Linked DNA regions of Macaca mulatta. Each later gene encodes a partner of the first gene's protein in a complex. Links are inferred from orthologs where the notes say so. Each region holds a gene or a part of one and is shown on either strand. Other genes may lie near its edges.

Region 1 (9,972 bases):
TGCTGGCTTTTCTAGCCAGAGGCAGAATGATTGGACTTTTGTCTTCACTTTCCTTAAAGGGCTGAAAGCCAGGGTTTCCCAACCTTGGACATTTTGGATCAGATACTTCCTTGTTGTGGGGGGCTGGTCCTGTGTACCATAGATGTTTTGCATCATCCCCGGCCTCTACCCACTAGATACCAGCAATACAACCTCCCTAGCTGTGACAACCCACATGTCTCCAGGCACTGCCAAATGTCCCCTGGAGGGCAAAACCCCCCATGGTTGAGAACCACTGGTTTCATGGAATATAAAAGCCTAATTTTAGAGATGGCAAAGTGTTCTCCCTTGACATCTTGCATCTTGCTGGAGGTTGGGAGGGCGAGGGTCGCTTCCCCTGGGCCTCAGTCTGTAATGAGGGGCATTTGAATAAGTCTAATCTAAAAGTTCCCTTCAGCGCCATCATTCAGTACTGAAAACCCACCTCAATAGGGTTGGTCTTCTTCAGGTTGCAGCACTGAGTTGTGATCACGCCACTGCACTCCAGCCTGGGCAACAGAGCGAGACACTGTATCGAAAAACAAACAAAACTGGTCTACCTCCTAAAATAAAACACAGATTATGCAGTTGCTGTTGGTAGGTTTTAGCCTCATTGTTTCTGCTGTGCTCGGTTCAGCTTTGCTTTTGCTCCTTTCTTTAGAGGCAGGTGAAAGTACAGAGTTTAGGGATGTGAAGTGCTAACGGGGATGGACGTCTGATCTCTGGCACTTCCCAGCTGTGTGACCTTGGGCAGCTCACTTCACCTCTCTGGGCTTAGTTCCAGGTTTCTAACAATGTCATCTACTTCAGGAATCAGTCTATGTAAAGCACTAATTTAGAAGTAGCTGCTGGGATACTCACTGCAGTGGGGCTTTAAGAGGAGCTGCTGAATGGATTTCTAGATTGAGACCTGCAACATTTGGTTTTATTTCCTGCTTATCAGCCACATTCCATCAAGCCCAGGACCAGCCCTTCGTAGGCCTCTGCCCCAGGCTTTCTTTTCAATCTGTGTTCCTCCCAGGATTCCATCTGCCACCATACTTTTGTGTCTGTCCCCAGTCGAATTACTGTTTTCCAGATAACCTCAGACCTACCCGAATGCCAACAGCATTCCTCAAACAGAGCAGAGCTGCCAGAATAAGCCAGCAGCTTCCTGCTCTTTGCCCCAGAAAACATTTCAAGTGATCAAGTGATCAGAGAGAGGGAGGGAGGCGGGGAGGATGCTGTAGCTGCTTATGCAACAAGCTTTAATCCCAGGTTAAAATCCACCACGCACACCAGCGGCATATTTTATTTCCTCATTGGTTCGTGGAATTAGCCGCATGCCAGATCTGCCACCAACCCCACAGTCCTGTTTGTTCCCCTCAAAGCAGCACCCGCAGAAACAAACAGCATTCCATATGGGATGGTGGTGGAGGGCCGCTGCCCACACAGCTAGGAGGGCGAGCACCGAGCACGCACTGCTTCACTGTGGCCTCCACCTCTCGCCTCCTCCCATTTGGTCTCCCCATGCAGCTTTCTACCTCCAGGAAGAGCAGGCCCCTCCCTTCTGGTGAGGCCCAGGCCTGCTGTCCTGAGCGCTGGAGCTTTGTCAGGTTGGGTGGCCATGGAACTGTCCCTCCCTGCAGCTTGGCCTCAGCAGTCTAAAACAGTAACAACAGCAACATCCTGTCCGTTTTCATAAAGCCTGGGTCCTGCCCTGCAGTACAGCGAGTTTCAATTCCCAGCTCGTTCCTGAGCCTGTTTGATAGGAGATTCCCGGCCAGGAAGAATTTATGTACAAGCAGTGGGCATCTGTTGTCCATGTGGGGGTTGGAAGGGCAGGGAAAGCAAGCCATCAGCTCTTCGTTTTCTTTGTGGGAACCGTGTGGGACAAGAAAGCCCACAAGTCCTAATTTTAGGAGGAGAGGGGAGACTTTATTGCTCCAGAGTTATGCCTCCTGGCATATGGCTGCGTTAACTCTGGAAGCTTTCTCCAGCCTCTAAAGAATGGTGTTTATTTAGCTTCTGTGGTTCCAGCTTGCTGTTTTAAAAAATCCTGTTAATTAAGCACCTTGTCATTTAAAATGCTGAAGAAGGAAAGCAAGCAAGAAAACTTGGACATTTTAAGGTCCTTTTCGATCTCCGGGTACGGACCAACTGCAGAGGCAGCTTTAGGGAGGAGACCGGCAAAGACCTCCTAACGCAATTGAAGTGGGTAGAATGATAAGCAGCTCTGAACAACCAGTTAATATTTTACTGGGGAGTGGTGCCAGAGATGGGGGTGGGGGGGCTGCCAAATGGAGGGCTGTGTGTGAAATCGCTGCTCCATCTGCCTTGGGGGACGAAAAGAAGCCGTTCTCTGTGCAAATAAATGGAAGCAAGAATCCTTAGGAAGCCCAGGGGATTTGTCTGCCCACCGAGGAGGGCCCAACTCCCCCAGGCACACACATACAGGGATGATTGTGGCAGGAAGGGCTGACCTACGGGGGTAGGCCTGACGCATAATGGGGGCTCTTGTTTCCGGGCTGAGCGTGCCATCTTTCTGTCTCCCTCTGGATTGAAATGGCTTCTCAGCCCGAGAGGCACTGCCTGTGCCCTGGATTCACAAGGTACACGCCTCCCTGGGAAGCAAAGGCTGAGAGACTGCGGCTCTCTCTCTCTCTCTCTCTGCATCTGCCGGGAGAGCTGCAGCTGGTATTTTTCCACAGGCCTTTGCTGCGATCTCAAGGCCTAGTTTTTCCCAGCCAGGCCCGGAGTCCGAGAGAGGGTTAACAGGCAGGAAGCCGAAGGCATCGCAGGCTAATACGGAAGTCAGATTTGTGTTTAACTGACAGGTTTAGCAGGCCTCGGCCGTGGGGGAGGGGCCGGGAGGCAAGGGAAGTTTGTAGATCCAGGCATGTGGCCTGCGAGGAGGGCTTTGGGTTTTTCTTAGGGTAAGGACGGAGAGGGGTCCCCCTTGGCATCGTGGCAGGGAGGCAGGAACCCACGTTGATTTTGCACGCAGGACTGGCTAAGCAGGGCGAGAGGCCCACGGCTCTCTGGCCTGCCTTGCAAGGAGGCATGGGGACAATGACTATGCAAACTTGACCACTCTGCTCCCCTCCTCCCCTCAGCAGCTACTCCTCGCTCCTCTGAGAAGCCAGGGCTGCTCTCTGCTGATTTTTCGTGGCTCCCCCGGTCTGCCTGCTTCCCCAGCTCCTCAGAGGCCTGCCTCAAGCCCCTTTTTCTGGCCCCCTTGGCTGTTTCCGTGGGACTCCCCACTCCCCAGCTTCCCCTTCCCCTTGGAGAGCCACCCTGCTGGACTGTTCTAGAAAACGGCTGGCCTTCCTCCCTGGACAAGGGCCGTTTCTCTGGGGGCAGGTGAGGGTGAGCCGTTCCAGCCCACTCCAAGAAACTCCCTTCCCAGGGGCCTCCAGTCCTCAGGCTTCCCTGGAGCAGGTCAGGCTGGCTGCCCTGGCCGGCCCGTGCCGGGAAATCTAGCCACGGTGCAGGAGAAGTGCGTGTGGGGGCCCCTTTCCCAAGTTTTTCTTGCTGCAAAAGGCCTAGCTTAGCCTGTCTTTTTCTATGCACAGGATGGCTCTTGCTCACCCGAGCCTCACAAAGATAATCGCTCAGGAAGTGTTTCAGCCAATCCGGGGCGGCTTTACACTCCGATTTGCCAGGGCAGCCAATCGGGGATGAGCTTTTATTAGGCGGCCAGATCATCAGCCGAAGTGCCAAACCCTTTTTCTGTGAGAACTAGGAGCCTGTCCTCCATGTTTTATAAGTATTGACATTACACAGTGTTAACAATGCATCCACAGAGGTAAGCTCGACTTTTTAACCATCTTTTTTCCCCCTCCCTCTGAGACATCCGAATTGTGGGCGAGCAGTGTGATTTCTCTGTGGCTGGCCGTGCCACACTCACCCCCAGAGCACTTATGTTAACTTGGAACTGTTTAGAGAGAATTTTTTTGCTTTCTTGGGTCACATGGCTCAGTAGCCATTAGCCATAGCTTGATTTTGCAAACTGGCAAGGGCCTGGCACACCTTTCCTTCCACCAGGGCATGGTGTTTCTGGAAGAGTTTGAAGCTAGATCCTGGTATGCCAAAAAAGAAGCTTTTTTTTTTTTCTTCTTCTTCTTCTTCTTTTTTCTTTCCCTCTTCCCTCTCTCTTCCCCTCTCTCTCTCTGAGCAGTCCCCCCCCCCACCCCTGCACTATTGTCTTCTCTTTTGCCACATGCCCTGCTGGGGGAAGAAAATGGAAGGTAAGCAAACAGGCTCCTCTCCAAGGAGAGCTCATGGCAGACAGCAGAGCAGGCAAGTTTGCCTCTCCAAAGAGGTTCTGGGAAGGCTGGATAAGTTTTGACAAGAGAGGAGCGTGTTTGCAAAAGAATTGAACCCTCAGCAGAGCAGTGCTAAGGAGAGTCTAGCTCCTGGGGCCTAGGTGGGTGGTGGTGTCTGTACACGGTCTTCTCTTATTCTACAGAGCTTCTGCACTTGAAACTACATTGTTCAGCCTGTTTTCCTGACTTAGGTTGCTACAGAGTGTTCTGCAAGCCAGCCTACAGCCAGCAAATGTTTCTGAAAGTGTTTTCTAGGTTTTGGAGGAAGTTTTTGGAGTAGGGATGTGGACTGGGGGCTGTGGGGAGAGAGATCTTGGACAACATCCTGCAAAAAAAAAAAAAAAAAAAAAAGAAAAAATCTGCAAGGATTCTGAATCCCTTAGTTTTCTACTCTTGCATGATTTTCAAGGAACTAATGTTACCTTTTATCCTTGTTTTCATTTTCCTGTCCCTTTTATACATTGTATCCTCCTCTCTTCTCCTGTGTGATGGAGTGTAGAGGAAATAAAATCATGTCTGTGGCTCATGACAGCATTCCATATTCAGTTGTTGGGTTGTGTTGTTGTTGTGTGTTTTTAATAATACCATGTAACTGTTTAAAAAAATTTCCTTTTTGATCAAGTCCCAAATCTGCCAGCCTGTTCTCTCTTCCTAACTGTGGAAAAATGAGACGGTTGCTTGAACATTTGTTGGGTAAGTAAAGCAATCCATTTCCTCTGTGACCATGTTTGAAGAGTTTTGCGAACATTTGGGGTCTGTTTGTAATAGGGGGTCTTGGCTGCAGGAGTTGGGGGCTTCATTAGCAGGAACAAAATAAGGGCTTTTTAAAGAGTGTCTTGATTTTAGGTGACTGTTTGAATCCACTGTTTTTCCTGATAACCTGCAGCTAGGATTGAAGATTATACTTCCTGTTTACCCTGAGTCAGGGGAGAAGTGTTTAGTTCATTGTGACTTGACTCTAGACCTTTAATGGGGTTTGTTTGGATATTCAAACTGTGAGTAGGTGATGTGCTTGTGAAATGTAATGAAGCTGCTTGTTCTTAGAGTTGCAGAGCCCTAAAAACATTGGTGGGGCAGAAGCTGGTGGTGGTGGTGGTGGTGGTATGTGTGTGCTGGGGGGGGGGGTGGTGTCAGTGTGCTCATGCTTTAGGACTTATGTATAGTGCAAAATCTCATCTGCCACCAGACTGGGGTTGGATTCAGGACTCACTGACCAACACATTTTGGCCTTTTTTCAGGTCTCATCCACACATCTGTATGCATGCTGACCCCACATAAGATTTGTCACTTTTTACATTTCCCTTGACCTCTTAAGGCTGCAGCTAGAAGTTAAGTGGGAAAAGTAGAGTCTTGTTTAGCATTACCTTTAGAATTTCCCTAGAAGTTCAGTACGTAAATTTTCAGCTTGGAGACCAATCTGACATGACTGTAAATGCAGGAAATATATTCAATTGCTGTGTTATGTCAACTTTATGGAGTCAGTAATCTTTTTTCTTTCAAATGAGTGTCCAGTAGCCCACTTTCTGACACCAAATTGGAAAAAGGCTCATTTAATCAGGAGAAACGTTTCGTACCACATTCTAAGTTGAAAAAAGTCTGTGCAAGGCAGGCCAGCTTAGCTTCTTAGAGTAAAACTGCAGGCAGTTAATGATGTTACATACTTAAAACTGAACAGTGCCACTGCCCCAAACAAGTAAGTTTAGACACTCAGCTATTTTCTTTGTTCTTATCTCCTTGCTGTAAATGGAAATTACATATTGAGGTTCTTGTGGCCTCCCTAGAAGCAGTGTCTAATCATAAGACTCCTGGTTTGGTGCCTTCAACGTTTGCATAATACTGTGTTTGTTGGGCTGGAAGGGAACTTAAGGGCAAGGCGTTTGTCCTCTAAAAGCTTGCATTAAAATGGCTCCCACAGGTTTGGAGAGCCAAGATGTGTTCTCAGATGTACAGCCCCCAGCAAGTTGCCAACACTGGACCAAGCTAGCCACTTTTCCTCTGGTACTGTGACCCCTACCAAGCATGAGTCTGTAAAAAGTTAATTGCTTTCAAAGTAGCATTATTTTCCAGTTTCAGGAAAGGGGAAAAAAATGTCTGCATTGCAGCAGGACTAGGTAGGGACGGCAGTACTGGCTCCCAGAGCAGCCCAATGGGGTTCTTCTCCTCTAGCTTTTAAACCAATAGACTTGGAGGAAAGGTTAAAGATTGACAATTACAGTGGCCGAACTAAGAACAAGCCTTCTGGAAATTTCTACCATCTTTGTTCCTTTTAGGAAAAGCGGATCTGCCAAACAGAAGAGTCTCCTACCTTCCATTCCTAGGTCATCTCCCTTCCCTTCTTCCCCCCACAACCCCCCTTCTTTTTCTCATCAAGGTATAATGTTCTCTCTGCCACATTTGTAAATTGCAGAGGGAGGAACAGAATGTTGGGCTGTTTTCCTTTTTCCTTCTGCCTCCTCAGTCCCCAAAGAGGATACACAGCTGCAAGGAGCAAACACAGACACACTGAAGCTTTTGATTCCTCTTTTTTTTTCCTTCAAGACCCTCCAGGATGGGTTCACTTTCTGCTTTGGGAAATTAAGTGGCATTCACGTGGGGGAGGGGGAGTAACTGCTTTTATTAGCTCCAGAAAATGGTCAGTGTTCAGTCTGTAACTAGGAATTAATTATATATAATCACTCAGTAAACTTTCTACAGAGTTTTTCTAATTGCTGAGCCTGATCATAGTTAGCCCGTTGGCGCCAAGTCCAGTTACTTTTATAATTAACAGCTCAAAGATTTGAGTCAGAAAGAAACAATTGGGGGCCTCTTGGATTATAAATTAGGGATGAAAACAATAGCTTTTTTTCCTTTCTTTCTTGTAACCTCTTTTATTTTAAACAAAACATTCCCCCTTTTCTTTCCCTGGGAGAACCAGTGGGGAGACTGCATCAGGTCTTAAATATGAGGACGGGAGACACTTTTTAGGAAGTGGGGTGACAGTAACCTAGAAAACCCTGAGGCAAAGGTAGGTTTTTAAAAGTCCAGCCACTTCCAATGTGTGATGTCTTTGTTTCTTTTGCCCTCTTTCCCCTTCTCTCTCCTGTGGCAGAGGCAGCAGACATTTGTCAGCCTGGGAACCCTCAATCTGGCTTTGCCTCTGGTTGACTCTGGAAAGAAAGATACATTCAAAGGGGCCTTCGCTACTGAACAGCAGAGATTTAAAAAGGGAATATGTTTCGAAGCCCTTTGGTTACTCTTAAAATGCAAAATCTGAGCAAGGGTTCACCCTTGGCTCAGGTTGCTAAGATTATGGTTGCCCTCCCCCCTACTTCCCACTCTCCTTGCAGACAAACAAGCAGGCAGTGGCCATGCCAGCTCTGCAGCCAGTGTGCTGCCAGCCTGCCCCCCCCATCCCGATTACCTACCTACCGGCCGACGGGGGCCAATGGCCTGTCCTTGCCCTGGCATGGCCTTGGGCACTGTGCCCTCCTTTCTCCCCTGGAGCTAAAAAGCAGTCACCTTGAAACTCCTCACTCCCAGCACCAGAGGAGTTCTGAGGCCAATGCTCAGACCTGTAACAGTAAATGACGTTATCCACTCAGGCTGTTAGTTCGGCCTCTGAAAGCGGGTTTTGCAAAACCCATTGTTAATTCTCAGGCTCTGTTGGGGGTGGTCAGAAATCTAATTTGTGAGTATCCTGTGCATTGGATAAGGGAGTGTTTTCCTTGTGTTTCTCCTCTGCAGACTCGGATTGTCTTTCCTTGATGTTGACTGTCTTAGGACTGGCTGCTTCAGAGGGCTGGGTATTTGGTGGCTGTTTGCAAGCTTATAAACAGCCTTTTTATTTTACCTTGGCTGTAGACTGAGGTGCAGCCCTTTAGCTTGGCTTTTCAGATGCCTGCTGTCCTTGAAGCACTTTCATTTTACCTAGCACCTTTTTGGTATGGATGCAAAGCTGGTTTCTAATAGACTGAGAAGAGAAGGGGGACCGGGCTTCGTCCTCGCCTCCCCCCAGCCTGCTCCCTGGGAACATTTTTGTGTTTGCACAGACACCTGTCCGTCTGCAGTCTGTGCCACGGGGCTGCACAATTCCTAACCTTCTACCCACCTAATTCGAGGGCAAGGGGGCCTCATCACAGAGCCTCATGTTGAAAGCTCAGGATCTACAAGAGAAGGCTTTTCCTTAGGAACCTGTGACTTCACAAACTCTCCCTGTCATTGCAGAGTTTTTTTTTAAGCTTCTAAACGTTGGGTTGTTGGTGTCCTTTGGTTCAGCTTTTCCTAGTTCTGGTATTTAGGAAGGTGGCTTTGAAACTAGCAGGGCTGCTTAAACAAGAGCTACAGCTATTGAACAAACTGCTACCATTTTAGCTTCAACACAGGAATGAGGCAGTGTTGCCAGACGCCATTTTAAGAATCCTGCATAAATAGCTTAGCTACCGATGACTCTGCCTGTTTTAGGTGAGTGCTTATATAAAGCTGCTCTGCTAACCATTCCCCCCCACCCCAATTTCTTAAAAAATTAATTGCAGATTTAGGGAAGCATGGTTTTTAATTTTGATGTTCACTATTTTATAATCTAGAAGAGGAAGATGTTATGCCTTGGGGATTAAATATTTCTTACAGCCTGGACCATTTTGGTATTTTGAATGAAAGTAAAAACCTGGAAAAGTCCTTTCGAATGATGCATGATTCTTGAATTGCTGTGCGATGATCCTCATCTGTAGAACCAGAGTCTTGTGCATGTTGGTTATATATTCTAGATGGCTTAGATATTCTTCTTTAAAAGTCAAATAGTAGGGGCACTTGGGGAAAAGAAATATGTGGGCATTGTGTATCCAGGCATTTTTCTGTCAAAACTAGATGCTTGCTTTTTTCTCTCTCTTGGAAGTGTTGAGGAGATGAGATTCCTGGGAATTACGGACCATCCCTGAGTCCTCAGAATTAATAATCAGAAGGCTTAAAGCATCCTGGAGGTGCAGTAGTAGTTCATCTGCAACTTTTAATTGCTCTTTTTTCAGTGCATGCAGGTTAAGAAGTAAGCATAGGTTTTCTTGCTCAGGCATTGGGAAAGAAATCTTTTATTCTTTTTGGGATGGGATGGGGTGGTCTTGGTTATCTTTGCAGGTACTGTTATTTCTTTGAATTGCCTGAAATGTATCAGTTTGTGAAATCTACAGGCAAATGACTTGGGTAAATGTGAGTGTAAGAGGTGGTAGTGTATACAATGTATCTAACTAGTTGATGGTGTGTTTTCCTATTGGAGTGAGAAATTGTTTTTCAGCTAATTTTACCCTTTTTCTTTAGCGGGCCCCCAGTTTCCTCAACAGACCTTTAAAGGGAGAAAAGTAATGTCAGTTTGAAACAAGAGCTTGTTGTCCCATTGTTTTTGATTTAAATCATCAGGGTTGCTGGAAGCTAGCAGATATGGAAGGAAATAAGCTGTCTATGTTCTAAGACTTTAATGTATTAATGACAGAAGTTCAAAGTATTTTCTCCAGATGCAGCTGCCTTTTCTTTTTAACAATTATTTGACTGTTTTTCTTCCCCCAAATGACTGAACAGTTCTTAACCGAAATTGACCAACATCAGTGGGGCAATTCAGACAGGTACAGATCTTTTCTTGCCATTACTTTTGATGTAATATTCATGTTTTTTTTTTTTCCTA
Region 2 (9,386 bases), on another chromosome or scaffold:
CCAAAGTCTCTCACACGTGCCCTTCCTTAGAGAACCTGAAGTTGCAAGGGAACCACACCGACCTGCTAGAATGTCCACTGCCACTCTCAGGTGGACTATACTTGAAGGGCCAGATGGGACTATAAAATAATGGTAAGCTCCTTCAGACTTTACCTGAAATGTTGATAACTGGTGAAAATAAATCAGCTCAGGGGGTTCACAACACTGTTCTGTCTACCTGCATGTCTGTATGTTTGAAATGTCAGCATAAAAATAAACTTTATCGGGGCCGGGCGTGGTGCACTTTGGGAGGCCGAGGTGGGAGGATCACCTGAGGTCAGGAGTTTGAGACCAGCCTGGCCAACGTGGTGAAAACCCATCTCTACTAAAAATACAAAAATTACCCAGGCGTGGTGGTGGGTACCTGTAATCCCAGCTACTTGGGAGGCTGAGGCAGGAGAATCGCTTGAACCCAGGAGGCAGAGGTTGCAGTGAGCTGAGATGGCGCCATTGCACTCCTGCCTGGGGGACAAGCATGGGACTTCATCTCAAAAATAAATAAATCAATAAAAATAAAATTTAAAAAATAAATAAACTTTATCGGGCAGGGCACAGTGGCTCACGCCTGTAATTCCAGGACTTCGGGAGGCTGAGGCAGGTGGATCACGAGGTCAGGAGTTCGAGACCAGTCCGACCAACATGGTGAAACCCTGTCTCTACCAAAAATACAAAAATTAGCTGGGCATGGGGGTGCATGCCTGTAATCCCAGCTACTCAGGAGGCTGAGGCAAGAGGATCGCTTGAACCCAGGAGGCAGAGGTTGCAGTGAGCTGAGATCGTGCCACTGCACTCCAGCCTGGGCGACAGAGTAAGACTCCGTTTCAAAAAAATTAAAAAATAATAAATATTTATTTATTAACTTGGCTGGGCACGGTGGCTCCGCCTGTAGTCCCAGCACTTTGGGAGGCCGAGGCGGGTGGATCACGAGGACAAGAGATCGAGACTATCCTGGCCAACATGGTGAAACCCCGTCTCTACTATAGATACAAAAAAAAAAAAAAAAAAAAGGAATAAACTTTATCCGCTGGGTGCAGTGGCTCATGCCTGTAATCCCAGCACTTTGTGAGGCCGAGATGGATCACCTGAGGTCAGGAGTTCGAGATCAGCCTGGCCAACAAGGTGAAACCCCATTTCTACTAAAAATACAAAAATTAGCCGGGCGTGGTGGTGGGTGCCTGTAATCCCAGCTACTTGGGAGGCTGAGGCAGGAAAATCACTTAAACCTGGGAGGCAGGCCAGGCGCAGTGGCTCATGCCTGTAATCCCAGCACTTTAGGTGGCTGAGGTGGGTGGGTCACGAGGTCAGGAGATCGAGACCATCCTGGCTAACACAGTGAAACCCCGTCTCTACTAAAAATACAAAAAAATTAGCCAGGCATGGTGGCAGGGGACTATAGTCCCAGCTACTTGGAGGCTGAGGCAGGAGAATGGCGTGAACCTGGGAGGCGGAGCTTGCAGTGAGCTGAGATCGCACCACTACACTCCAGCCTGGGCAATAGAGCGAGACTCCATCTCAAAAAATAAATAAATAAATAACCCTCACTCTGAAAGGATAAAGAAAATGTGGTATATCCATACAATAGAATATGATTCAGCCTTCAAAAGGAAGGAAATTCTGACGCATGCTACAACATGGATGAACCTTAAGGACATCATGCTAAGTGAAATAAGCCACACGCACAAGGACAAACACTGTGTGATTCCACTGATAGGCGGTCTCCAGAGTAGTCAACTTCATAGAGACAGAAAGTGGAATGGTGGCTGCCAGGAGCTGGCCAGTGGGGAAGGGCAGAATTTGTGTTAAATGAACAGTGGTGGTGGTTATCCAACAATATGAATGAATTTAATGCCACTTAATGAAATGCAGATTTTAAAATGACTGAAATGGTACATTTTATGTATTTTGCCACAATTAAAGCAAATACATGTGGCCAGGCGCAGTGGCTCACGCCTGTAATCCCAGCATTTTGGGAGGCCGAGGCAGGCAGATCAACTAAGGTCAGGAGTTCAAGACCAGCCTGGCCAACATGGTGAAACCCTGTCTCTACAAAAACACAAAAATTAGCTGGGCATGATGGTGTGCACCTGTAATCCCAGCTACTCAGGAGGCTGAGGGAGAGAATAGCTCGAACCCGGGAGGCGGAGGTTGCAGTGAGCCAAGATCATGCCACTGCACTCCATCCTGGGTGACAGAGTGAGACTCCATCTCAAAAAAAAAAAAACAAAACAAAAAAATAAAACAAAACATGAATCAGCTTATGAAAATAAGATCTTACCCAGCTTGTTCTCCACCATGTTCTGTATGTGGCAGGTGGCAAGTGTGTGTTGAATGAATGACACTGGAGCTTACCAGCCAGCCACACATTGTCCCCATCCCATCCAAGGGCCGATGTGACTGGAGTGACTTAATGCTGGTGCCTGCAGGACTGTCTTGCCTCCTCTCTCTCAGCCTCCTGTGGGTGACTCTGGAGCCCGTTTCAGTCCCCACAGCCCTGCACCTGCCCATCACAGTCCCAGTCCAGATGAGTATGAACCCACCTCCCTTCCTGAACTGAGCCACGCTCAGTCCTGAATGACATTAGCTATTTCCAAAACACTAAATTCAAAGCATGAAGATGTGACTCTGCTGTAATTTTCAGGGACCAATCCATAGGACCTACACGCAATTCCCAATGTCTGGAGATTCAGACGGGACCCCTGGAACAAAGAGGCTGCTCCCAAGGAGACGCAGCACACTGGCTACGGATGCTCGGCACTGGCCCAGGCTCCCCCATGCCGCCTGCCTCACTCCTGTGGCGGGACCAGGCCTGGTGGCCCCTCAGAGTGCAGGAACAGTGTCTAATCTGCCAAGAGACCCCAGGGGAGGGGAGGGGGAGCCTGGTCAGTGAGGGTCTGGGTCTAGATGGATGTTCTCTTCCAATCTAGAGCACAAGCTTCTCCAAAGTAGTCTTTTTCCACAGCCAGAGGCCAGAGCCCCACGTGATGAGGTGCCAGGCCTGATGCTCCATGGCACCCCGTGCCCATGCACGTCCCCAGAACAGCCACCACTGTCTCCCAGCCACTGATCTCCCCACAAGGCCCAGGAGCACAGGGACCATTCTCACTTCCCTGACCCAGAGACCGGGAGCCTTGGCCAAGAACTTACAAAGATAGACTGCTCCTTCAACCGCCTCTTGGCCTCTTCCGCTTCTAAAGTCTGCTGTTTCCTCCTGGAACGATAAGCAGCCTCAGGGTGCGCCCGGGGGACCCTGGAGCGCTGCCGGGCGGGCGGGCTCACCTGTGCTCCTCGATCTGCTGCTCCCGCTCCCGGTAGCGCCGCTCACGCTCCTCTTGCTCCTGCCGCTCCTGCTCCATCCGCTCCTGCTCAAACCTGAGCCTCTCATCCAGGGCCTTCTTCCTCTCCTCCTCCTTCCGCAGCTCTTCTTCCTTCTGCGAGCCCCGGTGCGAGCAAGGGTAGGCCCTGAGCCTGGGCACCTGAACCCTGTCCCTCTGGCCCCTCCCTAACCCAGGGCTGGGGGCGGGGCACGTGGCATGGGCCATGCCACTGCAGTGAGGGACTCAGACCTGCCCCATGGGGTCCACGAGGGGCGGCTCAGCCAGGCCAGGCTCAGGGTTCCATACCTTGGCCTGCTCCCAGAACTGCTCTCGGTTAATCCGCTTCATTTCCACAGCTGCATCTGTCTTCTGGTAGGTGGTGCCCTGCGGTGTCGAAGGACCCAGCGTGGGCAGGCTGAATGCCCCAGGAGCCCCCCACACCTAAAGGGTGAGGGCTAAGAGGGACCGGGCAGGCCAGACTCGAGCACCAGGCCACACAGGCAGAGTCCACGGGTGCCAAACACACACTAACCACGGGCTCTGCGTTCTCATCCTCTCGCAGCCGCAGCCGATGCAGCACGGGGCTGGAGAGCCGCGCTAGCCCGTTGGAGAGCCGCTGCCCGATGGCACCCGCGTCTATGTCTTCCACGCTGCTGGCGTTCACGATCACGTCGACGCCCTTCCACAAGAAGATGGCAGTGCTCAGGTGGCACCATCCTCCCGCCATCACCACCCCAGCACACAGACCCTGGTGGCTGTCCCCACCCCTAAGAGCCCTGGCCCCCGACACACACCTGGAAGAACTCAGCCACCTTAGCCACATGGCTGGCACAAGCGCACTTGCGGGCATCAGGCACATCTTCACCCACCTGCAAAGTACCCAGCAAAGAGGCGGTCGGGAAAGGACAAGGGGGGGCCCTACATGATAGGGTGCATCTTCCCCGGAACTGGTGGGGTTCCCTCTCCATGGGTGTCAGAGGGCCGACGGGCAGGGCACCTGCTCTGGGCCTTCAGCTCCCGTCCCCAGCCCCGGCCGCATACCCAGTTGATGAGCACGTATTTTGGCAGAGCAGCTTGGGAGTCCTTGACGCTGCAGAAGCCGTACATCACCTTCTGGTTCTCAAAGTGTCCCGAAAGCTCCTGCAAGCCCCCTTCTGGGGTAACCAGGAGAGCGTCAGGTGTCTCTGCCTCCTAAACCCTTCCCAAAAAGAGCCTGGAACTCAAAGGAAAGGCTCCTCCAGGGCTCCGCAGGCCCCCCAGGGGTCTTCTGGCCTCTGGGATGTGTGGGCCCCAGTTTGGTGTTGGTATGTGTGGGGGCGGCAGTGCACAGGGATGCGGCTTTGCCTATGACTCCTGCAGGCCCTGATTTGGGGTAGGACTGAGGAAGTGTTTGTTCTTCACACTCAGGTCTCATTCTTCACACATCATCATGTCTCACCAGGTGCCAGTGCCCAGAGGCACAATCAAGCCTTCTGGCTCTGGGGAAGGCAGTGAATAGGGCCCTTCCCCCAAAGCGTCCCAGCTGTGTGGCTTTAGGCAAGTCACTTTCCCTGTTGGAGGCTCAGCCTCCTAAGTCCAACATTCAACAAGCCTCAGAGCTTCCTCCCCACCCTGGGGACACAGGGATGACTGGAGGAAGGACACCAGCCAAATCCAGGCAAGTGTGGGGCTGCAGGGTGCAGGCGGGGAGGTGGCCTACAGTCAGGTGGGTGGGGAAGAAAACAACGGGAGGAGGGGGTGGAGAGGAAGGCGAAGGAATGGCTGGAATTCCTACCTCCTGATGCTGCAAGCTTGAGGTCATCCGAGCCATCCTCGTATGTGTACAGAGCCCTGGGGAGAGGGAGGGGTGGCTGTCAAACTGTCAGGGCCCAGGCCGCCAATTCTGGGTGGGGACGGCTCTGGGGAGGGATAGGGGACATGGAGGGGGTAGGACACGAACAGGGAGGGCTCCTGCTGTAGCCATGACAACAGGGCCAGGCACTGGTTCAGGCGGGAGCCCAGCAGGGTGCCGCTGGAGGCCGGGGTCAGGCGGGGCACAGGCAGTGAGGGGAGAAATTGCTGGCTGGTCGAGCTCAGTGCACAGCATCCCGGCCCTGGCCCTGGCAGCCTACAACCCAGTGGAGCGGGTGTGTGATGGAGATTCCAAGGCGACGGTTCCTTGGTTACTGTTCCCTGGCTACCACAATCCTCATCCCCCATTGGCTAGTGCCAGGAACTTACCTGGCACGTGCCTTGGTCCCCGCTGCCCCTCCCCCGGGGAGGGAGGAGGAGAAGAGAGAACCTGGTGCTCCTACAGCTCTGGGCATCCCCCGGTAACCATGGCAACCCTGCAATTGGCACACGACTGGCCCACCCCAACTGCATTCTCCTTGAACACAAAGGACCCTGGGGACCCGCCCTCAGCCTCAATCTCCGCCTCTCTGAAATGGGGATGAGGTCACTGCAGTCACTCTCGCCCAGACTCTGGCCCCAGGGTGGCCATGCGTGAGCTCCAGGCCTTCCAGCCCCTAGGCTGCCTCAGCCCTGGCTGAGGCCTTCTGAGACTGCTGGCCTTTCCTTCCGCCTGAGCTTCAACAGAAAGCTGACCTGGCGGCCTTCCTCCTCCTCCTCCTCCCCAGCTTTGTGTGCCCTGGCTCCTTCTGATAGGCTGTGGTGACAGAGCATCCATTTCACGGAAGGGAATGCAGAGATGCCTCCCCCATCACCCCATGCAGGCCCAGGCTGAGGACCTTCTGGGAGGGAGGAGAGCCGGGCCTAGGAGGAAGGGCCTTGTCCCTGAGGTTTGAAAGGGCTCAACCCCTTCTCCAAACTCCTATTCCCACGTGCCAAGGCAGGAGGCTGGGGCTGTGAGGAGGGGAGGCAGTAAGGGAGGGCAAAGGGGAAGAGAAAGAGGAGGGGAGAAGCAGAGGGAGAAACAGGGAGAGGAGGAAAAAGAGAAAGGACAGAAGTGAAGGGACAAAGGAAATGAAGGCGGGAGGGACGGAGGGGACATCTTAAGAGGTTGTGGCCAGGGCCAAATGGCCCCAGCCCCTCCCCTTCCTGAATTCCCCACTTCCTACCTCCAGGAAGGAACACAGGTGGGCTGGGAGGCTGGGAGTTCCTGGTCCAACTGTTACCCCCAGCTCCAGCCTGACCCTGACAGCTGCTCCCAGCACAGCTGGCCCACCACCTGTTCTGCTGCCCTAACCCACCACGGGAACAAAGGGCCCTGAGAGAAGCAGGCTCTGTCCCTCTCCATGCACAGATGAGAAACTGAGGCAGAGCCCAGGGACCCTAGTTCCTAGAGACTGCTCTAGACATCAAGCGTCCCTGAGAGGACCTGTCTTGGCCTGCCCAGGCTCCCTGGGGCGCCTTCCATCCTCAGCCCCTGCCTACCCACCTCCGGCCACCTTTTCCTGCTCCAGCGACAGCCCTTCTCCAGCAGAAACCATACCCCAGTTCAAACCCTCCAGCCTGCCTTTCCATCAGACTGCCCTGTCCACACCACACACTTGGGCCACACTGGACGGCTCCCTGACCCAGGCAGGGTTCTGGACAGGGCTCACCCTGGAGCCTCTGCCTATGTTGTTCTCTTCACATGGAAGGCAAGACCTGCTCCTCTACCCCACGCTTATTCCCAGTGGAATCCTCCCGTTCTTCAGAGCCCAGTGCTGGCTGCTGGCCCCCGGCAGCCTCCCCTGAGCTGCCCCTCCCAGAGCACCCACCACATCCCAGCAGGAATACAAAGACCAGTGCTTCTCAAACACATCAGAGGCATCCCGAGCCTGGTGCTGCACCAGGTGGAAGCTGGTGAAACCACAGGGAATCAGGATGGGGTAGAGGACCCCTACATATCTTACCAGCTCCAACTCCTAGAGACAGACACTGCCCCCAACTGTAAGCCTCCTGAAGGCAGGAACGCTGACTCAGTCAATCAGCACATCCTGCTCTCTGGGTCCTGGGGTCCAGCACACCGCACACCATAAGCATGTGTAATATTGACACCAACTTAGAAGCCATCTAGCCAGAGATACTGAACTAGTGTGAGATGGGAGCTGGAATGTGGCAGTTCCAGAGACCCTCGGGTGAGCTGGGGTTGGGGGGTGAGGGCAGGTGGACCCCTCAGGACCATCACTCTCAGGATGGTGGTGCTAGAAAGTCCTTCAGTATCTGAGGTAGGGCTGGGCCCAATCCTTTTTCTTTCCAAGAGGACCAGGAACTTGTATATGATCACAGTGAGTCATATCACAACCAGGACAACAGCGGCCCCTCCCACTATACAACCTCATTTCCTGGGTCCCCTGCTCCCTGTGCCAGAGTAGTGGTCCACTTCAGAGGCCCTGCCACCTAGAGTGAACTCCCCCCCAACCACCCCTCCCCATTGGAAGCAAGGTAAGCGGGGGCAGACAGCCATTTACCCGACACCCCTCCCTCTGGACCTACGGGCAGCGTCTGCCTCTGAGTCTTCAGACCTCACTGCACCCCTGGTTCCATGCTGGGCACTGGGGTATTCATATCCTCTTGTGCAGAAAGTGATCCTCACACCCCTTTTTCAAAATGTGATCTGGGCCCGTAGTGAACAAATATGTGCATGTGTGCATCTGTGTGTCCCACACACAACCCAGATGGGGGGTGACGCACACCAGTGATGAATAACTCGCTTTGGCCACATGGATGCTGCTGGGGTGGGGGGGGCAGGCCTCTGTTGAGCAGGATGTTGAGCAACAGGGGTTCTGTGGCCCTGGCAATAGGCCACCAGGGCTATGCTTTTAGGAGAAAATGGGGTGGTGGCAGACAACACCCCTCCAGGCTGGAGGGCGAAGGAGGTGTTCTGGGGTGAGCTGTGCCTCTCCCCAGGCGGGGCCTTACCCTGAAGCCAGCTCCTACACCAGGCCAAGCCGGCCACTTGCCCAGAGCTCCTCCCATGATCTCAGCCCCCTGGGGCAGGGCTGGGACAATGGGTGGGCCGCCTGCCTGCTGAGTCTGTGCTGGCCTCTCCTGTGACTGACCTGCAGGACACGAGAGCTTGTCTCTCTCGCGTCCATCCCTCCAGGCCTGGCTGCTGGCCAGTGCTGCAGTACCATGCCATGGATGCCCAGCCATCTCATCCTCTCCTCCAGGAGCCCCCAGGTCAGAGTCTCCACCTGACTGCCCGCCCAGTGTGTGGGTGAGGCCAGCCCAAGCGGGGTCCTTCAGACCCGCCCTCCTCTTTGCCTCAGTTTCCTCAAGAAGAGCCTGTTCCCATCTGCCAGCGGGGAGAGGAGGCCTAGGAACCAGATGGGCACCTTCCCCAAGAGTATTACGGGGTGGGGCGGGGAGGAAGAGGATTCCAGGATGGGGCAGTGAGGAACCCCTCGGTTTCTTCTTTCCGCCGCCAGCCAGCCCCAGAGCAGGTGGTCCATCCCCTCCCCCAGCTCAGGGGGAGACAGCAGTTGGGGGGCGGGGAGAGGGGCGGCCCAGCTCCTCCCCCATCAGGGACCGAGGGCCCCTTGGTAGGGGCCCGTGGATCTGTTCACCCCTTCAGCCCTCTTTCGGGGCTCCCTCCACACTTGTTCTCCAGAGGGCTTCCTCCCAGGGACCTCAGCTGGCGCCCTAGACAGGCAGCTCAGTGCCCCCCAGCCAGCTGCCTAGTCCCCGCAGTCCCCTTCAGGTAGGGGAGGAGAGCTCACCCCTGCCTCCTCCGCGACCCGCGGCGGTAAGGGAGTCACTTCGCGGTCGCCATGTGGCAGCAAACATCCTTCCACCTCACTCCAGCCCAGGTTTCCGGGGGGAGGGCGGCCCACTCCGAGAGGCCCCCCGGTGGGCGGGGCGCCCGGCCCCCATCCCGCTCCGCTCCTCCCCCGCCCTCGCTTTCCTTTGTGCTGTGGCCGGGCCGGGATGAACCAGGCAGGCTGCGCTGGCTCCGCTAGCTCGGTCCCCGCCCCGTCCCCACCCGGACCTCGCCCGCTCGAAGGTGGCGAAGGTGCCCTTGGCCGCCCCGTGCACACCTGTCCCCCGGGCCCGGGGGTAGGGTGGGGGATGGGCTCCCGCAGGGCCACGCGGCCCTGGGCCCCA

What was found.
Region 2: the proteins of ZMYND8 (region 1) and DBN1 are in contact, whole or in part, in a crystal structure (PDB 5Y1Z), measured with the Homo sapiens proteins. The link is inferred for Macaca mulatta from reciprocal best matches to the Homo sapiens genes ZMYND8 and DBN1. Residues at the interface, in NP_001350670.1 of Homo sapiens: Gln167, Pro168, Gly169, Thr170, Gln236, Ile237, Val240, Lys243, Ile244, His247, Trp269, Leu285, Gly287, Phe288, Phe307, Gly309, Gln310, His311, Asp312, Ala314, Thr335, Lys336, Ser337, Ile338; in NP_004386.3 of Homo sapiens: Met1, Ala2, Phe6, Ser7, Arg10, Leu11, Leu14, Tyr17, Glu18, Asp92, Ala93, Cys96, Ala97, Ala99, Ser100, Lys104, Glu107, Phe108, Gln110.

Annotation. Positions count from the first base shown.
Region 1 is NC_133415.1:100,156,448-100,166,419, reverse strand, and holds the start of ZMYND8 (MYND-type zinc finger-containing chromatin reader ZMYND8), read left to right. Parts: upstream 1-3,731; 5' UTR 3,732-3,791; coding exon 3,792-3,805; intron 3,806-4,947; exon of another isoform or gene 4,948-5,018; intron 5,019-8,725; exon of another isoform or gene 8,726-8,765; intron 8,766-9,972. UniProt on the Homo sapiens protein: Chromatin reader that recognizes dual histone modifications such as histone H3.1 dimethylated at 'Lys-36' and histone H4 acetylated at 'Lys-16' (H3.1K36me2-H4K16ac) and histone H3 methylated at 'Lys-4' and histone H4 acetylated at 'Lys-14' (H3K4me1-H3K14ac).
Region 2 is NC_133411.1:186,447,525-186,456,910, forward strand, and holds part of DBN1 (drebrin), read right to left. Parts: intron 9,257-9,386; exon of another isoform or gene 9,002-9,256; intron 5,184-9,001; coding exon 5,128-5,183; intron 4,508-5,127; coding exon 4,395-4,507; intron 4,223-4,394; coding exon 4,148-4,222; coding exon of another isoform or gene 4,033-4,147; coding exon 3,886-4,032; intron 3,738-3,885; coding exon 3,660-3,737; intron 3,468-3,659; coding exon 3,316-3,467; intron 3,248-3,315; coding exon 3,184-3,247; intron 1-3,183. UniProt on the Homo sapiens protein: Actin cytoskeleton-organizing protein that plays a role in the formation of cell projections. Required for actin polymerization at immunological synapses (IS) and for the recruitment of the chemokine receptor CXCR4 to IS.